Linked DNA regions of Drosophila melanogaster. The gene in region 1 interacts genetically with each later gene. Each region holds a gene or a part of one and is shown in the gene's direction. Other genes may lie near its edges.

Region 1 (7,441 bases):
CTCCGCAGAGTGCAGTGCACTCCGCTTGCCGCATTCGAAACGGTAAAGTGGGGGGCCTTCGATTTTTTTTATTTTGTACGTAAAGTGTTGCACTTCTTGCGGGGAACCAGTGCTTGCAAAACTATGGGGGATTTATGAAAGCATTGATCTTGATGGGCAGTAAAAACTATTAAAATGAACCAAGATTAAAGGGAATTAGTGGAGCTGATAATTCCCTTTAATTTTTGCCGGCCACTGATATATCCATTCCGAATCACTACCCCCTTATTAATTTTTTCGATGGTTTCTTTTTTGTTTTCGTTTCGATGCAATGTTTTTTGGGTCCAAGTCCACTGGCGCTTATTTGATCAAGACTATTATACAATCTTACACGTATGTACAGCTGTGTATGTATGGGTGTCCACAGTGAAGGTACTAGAAATAGTGCTCCGTTGCGAAGAATGATCAGCATAGTGCATTATGCTTTTGGACAATTTGGGTTATAAAAAATAGTTTAAGATACCTTTAATGGTGGTAAAATGCCAAGTGCTTGAAATTAATTGGTATGTAACTGAAAACGATCTTTTAATGTTATTAGTTTTAAAGTGTTGTAATGATCCTATAATATTTACCGCACACGTGTGGGTGTAAGCATGCGTTTTGCTGTGGAGCAATGAAGTAGAACAGCAACGGAAAAACAGAAACTATTAGTGCGTAGGTATTTGTGTTACTTCATTTGTATGTGTGTGCGTAGAGGGCACTTTTCGGGGAAGTGCGTAGCGAGGGGGGAAGGGTGTCTTGGGGCATATTGTATTGGACCGACAGTTTGTCACACGCAGCGACCTAAATACGCACATTTTATGATATTTTCATTTTGAGTTTTGGCTTTTGTTTTTGGATTCCTTCGTTTACGTTATCAATTGGAAAACTGTAGTCCGTGTATGTATATGTGTGTGTAATCCCATGTTTATGTAATGCATTTTCTTTGGGCTTTATTTTGAAAACGAATACAGTTCTCCATTTAAGCGAGGTTTGACAATCACTGGGTTTTGTGTTTGTTTTTGCTTCTTCTTGTGCTCCTGCTTCCTCTCCATTTTCTTCTTCAACCGGCTTACATGGTCTTGCCTTTGTGTTTGTACTTACATATATACAGCCAAGGGCGCAAAAATATGAACTAAAAAACTTAAATACTAATTCCTCCGCATCTCTTAAAGCTGGTTTTAACATTTGGGAACGCTCATATTCAAAAATATTCTTGCGACACATATGCATGTGTATATTAATGCAGCTCAAAGTTTGATTTCGTGAACATTTGAAAATGTAACTACTAATATTTTGGCTTCAATAGTGTGTACTGCCTGCTTGTGGTAACCATTCCAAGTAGCAGCTGTTCTCCCTGCTCCCTTCTTATGCTGTCCTCTCCCTCTTCATCACACAAAACCACACACACACACGCGCACTCCCGCTCACACACACTCAGAAAGACCGCTCTGCTTTTACAGGCGTCGACGTCGACTTCTTTTCTTTGCGCAGCGATGGTTTTCAAAACGAATTCGAACGCTTAAGCGAACGGTTGTGTTTACTCCCAAGCAAAGATATCCAAAAAAAAAAAAAACTGAAACCACAGAGAAATCAAAATAGAAATTAGCGGACTCAAAAACAAAGTGTAACAAAACAAAGCAGAAAAATAAAGGCAAACATTTTTTTGTGGTGCATCTTCGAAAAAACCGGTTGTTAAATGCGCGTTGCAATCGAAATAATAACAAGAGTTCAACAACAAAATCCCTAAAAAAAAGCAACGTTGCACATTTTCTCGAGTGCAGTTCAAACTGTAAGGAAAACGTAGCGAAAATTGAGGAAAAATTTAAGAAAACCGAGGTTAAAACTTGAGCGAAAAACAAAATGGCATTCTCCATCGTGAGCCGTGGTATTTTGCGCACTTCAAGAGAAATTCTGGAACGCAACATGGCCGCAACTGTCGGCGTTCTGCAGCAGAATGCCTCCCCGCCCCCAAACACGCCCATTTCGCACAGCGATTGTCACGTAAGTGCATCTTTTCTTTCAGTGCATTGTAGTTAAGGTTACTAATTGAATTGACAGAAACAAGCAGTTAGAAAAACTTAGCATCACAAAGCGGACAGGAAAGAGCAGTTCCTAAAACAAACTTAAAAGCAACAGTTATAAAATAAAGAGTTTAAAACCAGTTCCACAAAAGATGTTCCAACCAAAAAGCAGTTCCGCATGATATAAACTCAAAACAAAGCAGAAAAATAGAATCGCAATTCGAAAAACAGTAAGTGGTGGAAGGAGAACTGTAAATAGTGAGGAAGAGGGGTGAATACAGACAAGCAAGGGAAGTGGAGAATGAAAATTGGGAGCGGGAATGTTCACGAAACGAGGCCAGTGCTAAGTAAACTGTAGCAGTGCATTCGAAACTGTAAGAACTCGAGTTCAATTCTTGATTAATATTAATAGATATTCCCAACTATAATTCTAGCAATACAAGAGAGTTTGGGATTATTAATTCTCTAATTTTTATTAACTTTTCATTCCCGCATTATTAATTTATTGTTGTTAGCAGCAGCATTATATATTGCTGATTTTTGGTTTCAATTGATGATTAACTATAAAATACGTTTAGGTGCTGGCAAATTTCTTGCACATCAATCATTAAAGGGCGCAGCACTTCAATCAATCAATAAGAAATTGAAAACCCGGCGCCGAAAGAGGCATATCCCTCAATGAAACAAATAAAACAAGATACAGTAAGATAAACAAGTGGAAATTACACACAAAGAAATGTTGGTATTGAATCAATAGATTCAACAAAATAGTTCAGTTAATATATAAACATGTTTCATCTTACTCCTATGTTGTTAGCTTTAAAAATACCGTCCAATAGTATTTGCATAAAAGTTTCGGTTTTGAAACGAAATTTATGATATTATGTTGACACAACATACATTAATTTAACCAGCTAAGCCAATATTAATACTTACTGGTATTTTTCACCGTGTATTCAGGTGAAAGCTTGTTTTCCCTTCTCACCGACAACAACCCCCTCATTTTGAAAGTCGGAAAACTGCGCAAATTCTGTAGCAGGAAAATCTTGCGCAAAAGCATTGGAAATTATAACAACAAAAGTACCCCACCTCCCTTTACTTTTTCTCTAACCGCCACGGAAAAAGAAGTTTTAGAATCACAGGAAATGATTAAAGTGATTTTATTCGCAATTTTTCTACTTCTTGTTTGCTGCTAAATTAACATTGACCTGTTGCTCGACTTTGATTTTTATTTGCCGTCTTCTTACTCTCTGCATCTTCCACATATAAATCATTGGCATTGTTTTTTGTTTAATTTTCTTATGGTCGAAACGTGTTTCTCTTTATTTTCGAGACGCGCAGACATTCAAATGAAAGGAGGCCCGTTTTTTGCATTCATTAATTCGTATTTTGGAGAAACTTGTTTACGAAAAAAAAAACACCGAAAAACAGAAACAATCCAAAGTTCGTTTAACCAAACGAAGCAACTGGAACCGAAAAAAGGTCCCAAAGCAGTCAGTCCAATACAATAAGTGTGCGGGCTTTATGATAATGTTATATGGTATGATGCATGATATCATCGTCGTCGGTGGCTGGCAACATCTGTACTTGGATTCTTTCTTATCGAGAGCCATTGAAATTCAAAACGTTTACAAGAGAATTCGGTTTCTTGTAATTAAAAGAGTAGCGAATTTTGTTTTTTATCTTTTCCTAATGGCACAGGTGATGGAAAAAACCTTTCTCCGAACTGGTTATTGGCATCAATATTTATCTTTTTTAATTTTCAAAGTTGCAATGTTGGCAGCAAAGGACATTGAATGTATTATATATGTGTAAAATACCGTGTCCTATATTTACATATATTTTATATATATTGGAAGCTATTTTCCTGCTGGTTTACAATTTCTTCTTTTAAATTCGTTACATACATGATCGCCACGTGGTTTTTTACCATTACCAAGCGCCTCTCAAACTGTAGACCGAGTTTTTTGAGATACATTTTGACAGTCACTCTTTGGCACTTTTAAGGCGAACCAAAGATGGAAAACTCGTAAAAAAAAACAGATAACGACGAATCAGGTTTAGAATTGTTTTGTGAGTAAACAGAACTGACCTTAACAATGAGAAAATAACACGCACAACAAAAACAACACAGGAAAACAGCAGTGCGCTGAGTTGTAATTAAAAACATAATGATTGCTTACACACCGAAGGGCGTCTAGCAACCATATCAACAACAAAAAGAGCATTCAGCATGGGGCTGTGAAAACCGAAATATACACAAAAACAATACAAAACAATAGCATAATGATTGCGTAACATTATTAATGACACGTTAGCATCTCTTTTTTTAAAGCACAATCAAAATGATTATTATGATAGAGAAACTTATCCAATACATTTTGCATTTTCACATTTTTCTAATTTCCTTTTTTTTTCTGATTTCAGCGCCTGGCATCTGGCGGCATTATCTGTGGACATGGAGCACATTCACTGCTTTGGCATCAAATGCCAACTGCCGTGGTCCAGGCTGTCCGTCAATATTCAAAGAAGGCCGGAGCGGCCAAATTGCGACGGGAGGTGGAAAGTGATAGCGATTCCGACTCGGATGATGAGTTCGAGCGTCGTCGCCAGAAAATGGATTCCAAGCGCAGCGAACGGGTGAGTGAACTGCTTGAGAAATGCATAATCCATTAAATAGATCCATAAAACACACGGTCCACGTGGCTGAGAAATTTCAATTGTGTTTGCTCGACAGGCCGAGAAACGTGTTTCGAAATTTGTTTATCGTGCTCAATGTCGTTTTTTGAACCTGCTCTACGGCATTTAAAAAATAGTCCAACATTGTAACCTGGTTAACAGTGGCCATTTAACAGTAGTAACTGGTTTGAGTGCAGACTGTTTTAAGATCAAAGCTTTGTTGTTTGGTTATTAATACGAAATCTTAGCTTTCTCAAAAAAAGCGAATTGAAGCTTAAAGCAGTTGCTTGTATCCTGACTATACTTGCCATCAAGCAGTTCCTTAAAGTCCTTTCAAAGCCTTTTGGTTAAAGCTTCTAAAAGCTCACAAGCAGTCGCTGCGCGTCTATGAGATAAGCTGATGTTAATAAAAGCATTTTAATAAGGACAGTCAAGTCCTGCAAAGCTTTCAAGCTTTTACTTTTCAAGTCCTTTTAAAGTTTGAAAAGAGCAAAAGGCTTGGTTGCAGAATTGCAATGAGCTTTAGAGTTTAAGAAGCTTTTAGCACGCCCTGTGAATGTTTTAAATCAAATATAATTAAAATTTAAAATAAAATCGCAAGGCAAACCAATTAATATGTATATTTTTCCTCATTTTTAGGGCGACTCAGCATTCTGGCGCCGCAAAATGCGTACTCTCCACCGCATTTTGGACGTTAATCACGACGGCGTCGTGTCCTTCGACGACTTTAGTTTGCTGGCCAAACGCTTTAGCGATCTGGGCCATTTGACCCCAGAGGTCGCTGCCGAATTCAACGATGTGATCAAGCATACTTGGGAAGAGCAGTTCGGGGAGATAACCCCATACAATCTGGTAACTGCCGAGCAGTTCCTCACCGATCTGCACCATCGTCTCAACGACAAGAAGATGGCCAAACGCATCGGTCGCTTCCTGCCCTACTTGTTTAAGGTTAGTTTCATTGTTAAGTTGCTATTATCGATAAACAGAAAAATAATTTTTCCGGTTTTTTTTTTCTTAGGCTGTGGACTTTGATCACACTGGCCATTTGGATCTCGAACAATACAAGCTCTTCTTCCGTTGTCTGGGACTGACCGAAGACGATGCTGCCGTTTCATTCGCTGTGATAGACAAGAACGGCGATGGCCAATTGTCGCTCAAGGAGTTTGTGCATTTGGGCCGTCAGTTCTTTTTAACCGAGGACGACTCGAAGATATCGAAAATGTTCTGGGGACCGCTGGTCGCTGATCATTGACGGGTTGCAGTCACTGCTGTAGATTACAATACAACCAAATCAACAATAACCCAACAAAAAAATCCTTACTACAATCAAGATTATCAGAACCATCAACACAACAACGTCCGATGCCATAACATCGGCAACAATAACACCAATGAGCCAATGCTACATTATACATTGAATACGACAACGATGTTGGCCAATAACAATTACAATAAGATAGTGGCCACTTCGTTGCCAACTCGCGTGCAGGCGGCAGGCGGCAGTTGGCTAAATCTACAGCATGTGGCGCCTCATAAATCGGGACCGTTAATAAACATTAGCAACACCACCACGATCGTTATAAGGAACATGAGCATTTACGATTATTTTCGGCAACACTTGTCCAGTTCGAAGCGCCAGCGCTCGACCTTTGAGCCCCATCCATCGCCCACTACGTATCCCGCCTCCAAGTTGCGCAAGCACAACTTTAGTAATTATCAAAAGGAACGGGAACGGGAAAGGGAAGACCGACAGAAAGATAATAATAATAATAATCATCGAACCAAGGGCAAACCATCATTAGATGACTACGATATAAGATTTTTTGTCTACCTTAACTCGCTAATAATATTCACAATGTCGTGCAGTCGTCAATCGGCCGCCGAGGGCGATGACCTCAAGCATTTCATTTGCGACCGGATCCGGAAATTCGATCGCCTACGACGAAAGGCAAGAAAACGCCGCAAGAGAAGGCCCAAAAAGCTGGTCGAGGATCAAATGCACCATTTATAAACTCTGAAAAGTGGAGCTACATACTATTCACGGTCACCCTATTTACCATATAATCGATTATTTTTTTTTTGTCTAGTTAAGAGTTATGTTTAACTGATATATTACACAATACAGCAAGCATGATATAACGGAATAAAAATGATTTTTAAATATACTATAAATAATACGAGCATATATTTTCAATTATTGGGTGATCAAGCGATCAAAAATGGTTTTCCTAAATCTTTGCGACTCTGTCCACTTATAGATTTTAGTTTATTATGTTTAAACTATTTCCCTAATTGCATATAGTGATTTGCTTATGATTATCCTGCTGCAGGTTTATATTTAATTCATATTCTCAATATTCAATGGAGAAAGGCAAACAGCAGACGCTACTTCCTTCTCATTTTATTTTTAAATGCATTTTTTTTAAATGTTCCCTCCCTTGGCATCTGCGGCCACATATCATTATGTAAGCGCCAGCGAAAAGGATTTGCGATATCAACTGAAAAGTGTTTAGCTGGATGTTGCGAGTCTACAAAAAATGTTACCTAAAATAGAAGACGGGTTGAGCTACTTTTCCAATACTCTACTCTACATTTTTAAAAGACTATACACTTTAATGAAATGCTAGGAATAAATATATATCTCCATCATATAAGTGGTGTGTCATATTTTGTTGTAACATATAGTATCAAAATCTAAGACATACCCTTTATTTTGATAC
Region 2 (4,653 bases), on another chromosome or scaffold:
CACCCTGGGCTTGGAACACTTGTTCTCCTTTCTTGGAGTGCAGCTATTGGAGCCACCGGCACCGAAGAAAGTGTCTGCGCAGCCACTTATTTCAGAGTGCATTCTGTGCTCGCCCTCACTAGAACGCTGAAGACTGCTCACACTGTTGGGCTCTACATGAAAAGTGTCCAATGGTTCCTGCGGAAGTGCATTACGATTGCATACATGTGCATTTCGTTTGTATTCGACACCTAACTTACCGCAGAATACTGGCATCGATGACGGAATGACATTTCGTTCCATCGGGTTTCAGCAGCCCGTCTTATCTCGTTATTCGAGTAATATTCTCCGTAGCGCTTCTTAAAGTCCCTCAGAAAATTAACAAAGCCAGACGATGAGGCGTATTCGTCCTCTGCCCTATTGATATCTTCTTCAATGTCGGAGGCGTCGGAATTAACATATTCAATTGATTTTTTATAGGTTTTCACTGATTTTGTTACTGCCACCTCCGGCTTGCTATCCTTTTGTTTCAGATTACTCATTTTGCAACCAATTCTTGCTCGACAGAAATTTTCACAAACAAATTTGTTACTCAGAATTATACAAAAAAAAATTATATATGTATAAAAAACTGTACTCAATTTTATCGAAATATTTTAGTTGTTCCTCGTTCAAAGGTAGTGTACTAACTGTTTGTATGCTGGCTTCAGCGTGGAGACCTGGAAATTGGATTTGAATGAAGGCTCAATTCTACTATGATCAAGAAAAAGTTCCTTTTTTCAAACCAAGTTGGCTGTTTTCAAAGTACATTTCGCAGATCGGCGCCATATTTCCATGGTTATTTTTGTATACTATATTCGTTCAAGATATTGTAGGAGAAAATGTTTAATGTTTCTTGATCAGTATCAGTCGAGCTGGCCATATTCGTCCGTCCGTGTGTCTTGAAAAAGGTTTTAATATTCTGTTTGCAATCCGACTAGCTGAGTAACGCGTATCTGATATTCACGAAATAGAATAGCGTACTTCCTTGTTTTCAATGAAATGAAATGAACAAATATTTTACAAAAGCAATACTAAATGTTATATTATAATCTGAACAAAATATGTAAGAAATACCAGAAATGTCGTTGGTGAGGGAAGGTGTTTAAATTATCCTGTGCGACTACGTTCCTTTCCGGGGTTTCAACCACTTGGTAAGCAACAAGCGGCATTTTGCTGGTTAATGCTGCCGCTTAAACGAAAATCAATACAACTTGCGGTCTATTTTCGAGCGGATTGTTAAAAAAAAAACCCATCCATAGGTGGATTTCCCAGCACGGATGCTTTATTTTCGGCTTCCTGCTTCGGAGAACTGTATTCCCTCTGTTCATTGTGAAGCTTTAAAGTTTATTTTGTGAGACAGGCTGCAGCAAAAGCTTGCAATGCTGCAATGTAAATAGAGCAGCGCACCTGTGGAGGTCCTTTCCACATCGTCCTGTTCCCCCTCTCACTTGCCAAGCGACTTTCCTTACCCCTTTTTCTCCCAACTTTGATTTTGAGTACGCCTGTGTGTGTGCGCCGGACTCTCTGGGGCAAGTTGCCTGTTGAATGCCGGACCCGCTGTCAGTTGGATTAGCATCCTGACGCCGTGCAGAAGCATCCTGCTTCCACCTAGTTCACTCCGTTCGTTTGCTTTTTATTTGTTTGCCTCCGCGCGCCATGGGCAACCAGTTGAGTGTGAACAGCATCCAGGATGCGGTCATCGATCGCTTCCGCTCGGTGGCTTTGACCACCGATGCCAACGGCGCCATGCGCATCCGTTCGTTTTCGGAGGGCGTGGTGGCCACCACCCACCATCATCATCAGCATCAGCAGAATCAGCAGCAGAGTCCCCATTGCAGTGGACGCGGCGGACGCATCCTGCGCGAAAGTAGCATCGATGGCGGGGTGGCCATGTTCGATGCTCTGCTCCGCGATGATCACGAACATCGGCTGAGCTTGGATGCAGTGCATCGCATGCGGCATGTTCGCACCTCCTGCACCACAATTCCCGAGGAGGATGCCGTCAGCGATCGCAGCCTGCAGATTCATCTCTCCACTCTGGCCCGCGAACGTGAACAGGAACTTGAGCTTGAGCGCCAGCGGGAACGCGAAGTAAGTTGGAAAGTCGGAAAAGTTTCCAATTTCCGGAAAACAGTAGGAAATCACTAGGAATTTGTGCTGAAAAGCTTTTGGCGGAAAAAAGATTTAAAGTGTGGGAGTGTGCGCATACTAGAAAGCTTTGAATCGTTTGAAATTGGTGTCTTGTTGATTCGATTTGTGACTACAAATCACGATGTCGTTAGTTCTAACACAAATAAAAACATGCAAAAAAATGTTTACCTTATTCCGCGAGCACCTAATACCCTACTTAGAATATAAAAATTTAATAAAATATGAAAAAGTTTGCTATGTTTTACGTTAAGGCCTTTTAATTCTTTCAAAATATCTTTCGTATCTGAAGAAAAAGAACGAACAGGAAGAAAATGTTCACATTTTATTTAAACATTATAAATTTATTTTTTGCAAAAAGGTAAATGGAAAGGGGTTAATTTTTGGGATACAGTAGAATATAGTAACCTAAACTATATACTAATTTAAAGAAAGTGCATTTCATAATGCCCCACGAGCTGCTTTTTGCGACAAAATGTCGAGTTTGCACTTGAAACTCGAAGGGAATTCTAACGAAATCAAAGCGCTCCCTTCGCTTTCCCTTTAGCACTTCTGGCCCTTTTCTCCCGTAAAAGCTTTTCCCTTTGCCAGGACTTGCGTCACAAGTGCGAGTGTATGTGTGTGAGGTGGTGGGCGGGTGTGCGAAAAACTTTACTTTTTGGCCAGTCGTATTTGTATGTATATATTTGTGTATATATAGAAAGGTTGCCTTCGCTGGGCGTGTTGGTGAAGGTCATCCTGTCGTCGTCGAGATTGTGTTTGTGTCTGGCTGCTAGAGTTTGCTTTCGTCCTTTCGTTTGTCTCAGTCACTTTTTGGCCACCGTCAGTTGCCCATCGTTGTTCCCAATTTTAGTTTTTTCGCCAACTTAACTGCTCAATTTACTAGTTACCATTCACCTTTTGCGGTCGTTACTTTTCGACTTTCTTGCCTGATTGATGGCCACGCGAATTCCGCTGCTCCGATCATCGAATTGTCCGGTTTAACGGTCGTGTTAATGCCGCTTTTACGGCTGTCATCGCTCCGTCCGGCGCTGTTTACGCCGGCTTCTGATTAACAGCGGAATCGTGCCAAAAACTACGCCGGACACTTTGTCCCCAGTGTCCGCCATAAAGTACAGACAAACAACAATCAATTGTGTTGGCCAAACGAGGTTGGAAAAGTGCCAAAGCGGAAGTGACAGGAACTCGACCAGCGAAATGGTGGGTAAAATTCGAAGTGTTAAATACGGTTAACTTGGTAAATATTTCGGAAAGAATTGGTTTCAATAGCGTTTTTATAGTGAGGAAGAGAAAGGGTCCCATTGCATTAACGCTTAAGAATCCTTAATCTTTAACATTCAAGTATTCATTCTTCTTCCGTTCCTTCATATTTCTATATTATCCCATTGAAAGGTATACAATTCTCATTTTTAGATATTTATTAGAACTCAAAGTTGTTAATAGTAATATTACTTTCCGATTATCGAATTGCCATCAAGGTATAACTGGATACATTTTTCTTCCAAGCTATATAAATAGTCTCCTTGAGGAAAAACAAATTGACAACATTTTTTTTTAATGAAAATCAACAATTTTAAATGAAATCAACACTCGTATTCTATCCAATCTGTTTGTTTCCTTCCAGAACGCAAAGCATTTAACATACAATTCCAATGAAAAATTTCCCCGAAATATGGCCTCGAATTATGCTCTGTTTACTTGATTAAATTGTTATTTTACTACCTTTTATTTCCTTTTTATGCACTCGCATCGCATTAAAACGATTTCTGTGATATTTTTAAGTGGGTCCGATGAAAGCAATTTATGAGCTCAAAGAAGCTGGGGTCGGAAAAATCGAATTTTTGAAATTTGAAAGCTGGAATCGTTTGCCCATTTTTTGCCCATGTTTGCCCACCAATTAGTTTTTTTTGCCCACGTCCAGTTTTTGAGATATGAATTTTCGAAAAAGTTCGAAAATTTTCGAAAATCAAAAATTTCGCTTTTTTCAAAATTTTTTTTTTTAAATCGCAATAACATCGTTTGCCCACGTTTGCCCACCCTTTAGAATTTTGAAAAAATTTATACTTTAGAAAATATAAGGCTTTTAAGTTTACCTCGGTCTAATCAGAGAGTAAATCGTTTGCCCATCTCTTAAAACCAAATATTATCAACAAAAAAGGTTTGCCCAACCATTATTATTAGTTTTTATCGTTTGCCCACCCTTTAAAAAACCTTTAACAAAAATTTTTTTTCGATTGCCCACATTTAAAATACACCCAATTTCGTTAGCCCACCTCTTTAAAATAAAAATTTCCAATAAAAAACGTTTGCCCACCATTTAAAAATAAATAATTTCGATTGCCCTGCGCTCTTTAAAACTAAATAATTTCGTTTGCCCATCCTTTAAAATTCATTTTTAACGTTTGCCCACCCTTTAAAAATAAATTATTTCGTTTGCCCACCCTTTAAAATTTGTTTTTTTCGTTTGCCCACTCTTAAAACTAA

The links.
Region 2: of CBP (region 1) and Pka-R1, changing one enhances a phenotype caused by changing the other (phenotypic enhancement), as found in Drosophila melanogaster (one study listed by BioGRID).

What each region holds. Positions count from the first base shown.
Region 1 is NC_004354.4:7,335,835-7,343,275, forward strand, and holds CBP (sarcoplasmic calcium-binding protein), read left to right. Parts: upstream 1-1,517; 5' UTR 1,518-1,881; coding exon 1,882-2,022; exon of another isoform or gene 2,023-2,416; intron 2,417-4,469; coding exon 4,470-4,682; intron 4,683-5,360; coding exon 5,361-5,669; intron 5,670-5,739; coding exon 5,740-5,973; coding exon of another isoform or gene 5,974-6,732; 3' UTR 6,733-6,897; downstream 6,898-7,441.
Region 2 is NT_037436.4:20,817,358-20,822,010, forward strand, and holds the start of Pka-R1 (protein kinase, cAMP-dependent, regulatory subunit type 1), read left to right. Parts: upstream 1-1,607; 5' UTR 1,608-1,677; coding exon 1,678-2,112; intron 2,113-2,973; exon of another isoform or gene 2,974-3,366; coding exon of another isoform or gene 3,367-3,369; intron 3,370-4,653. Other genes in the region: Mst77F (Male-specific transcript 77F), read right to left, coding at 1-177, 240-521.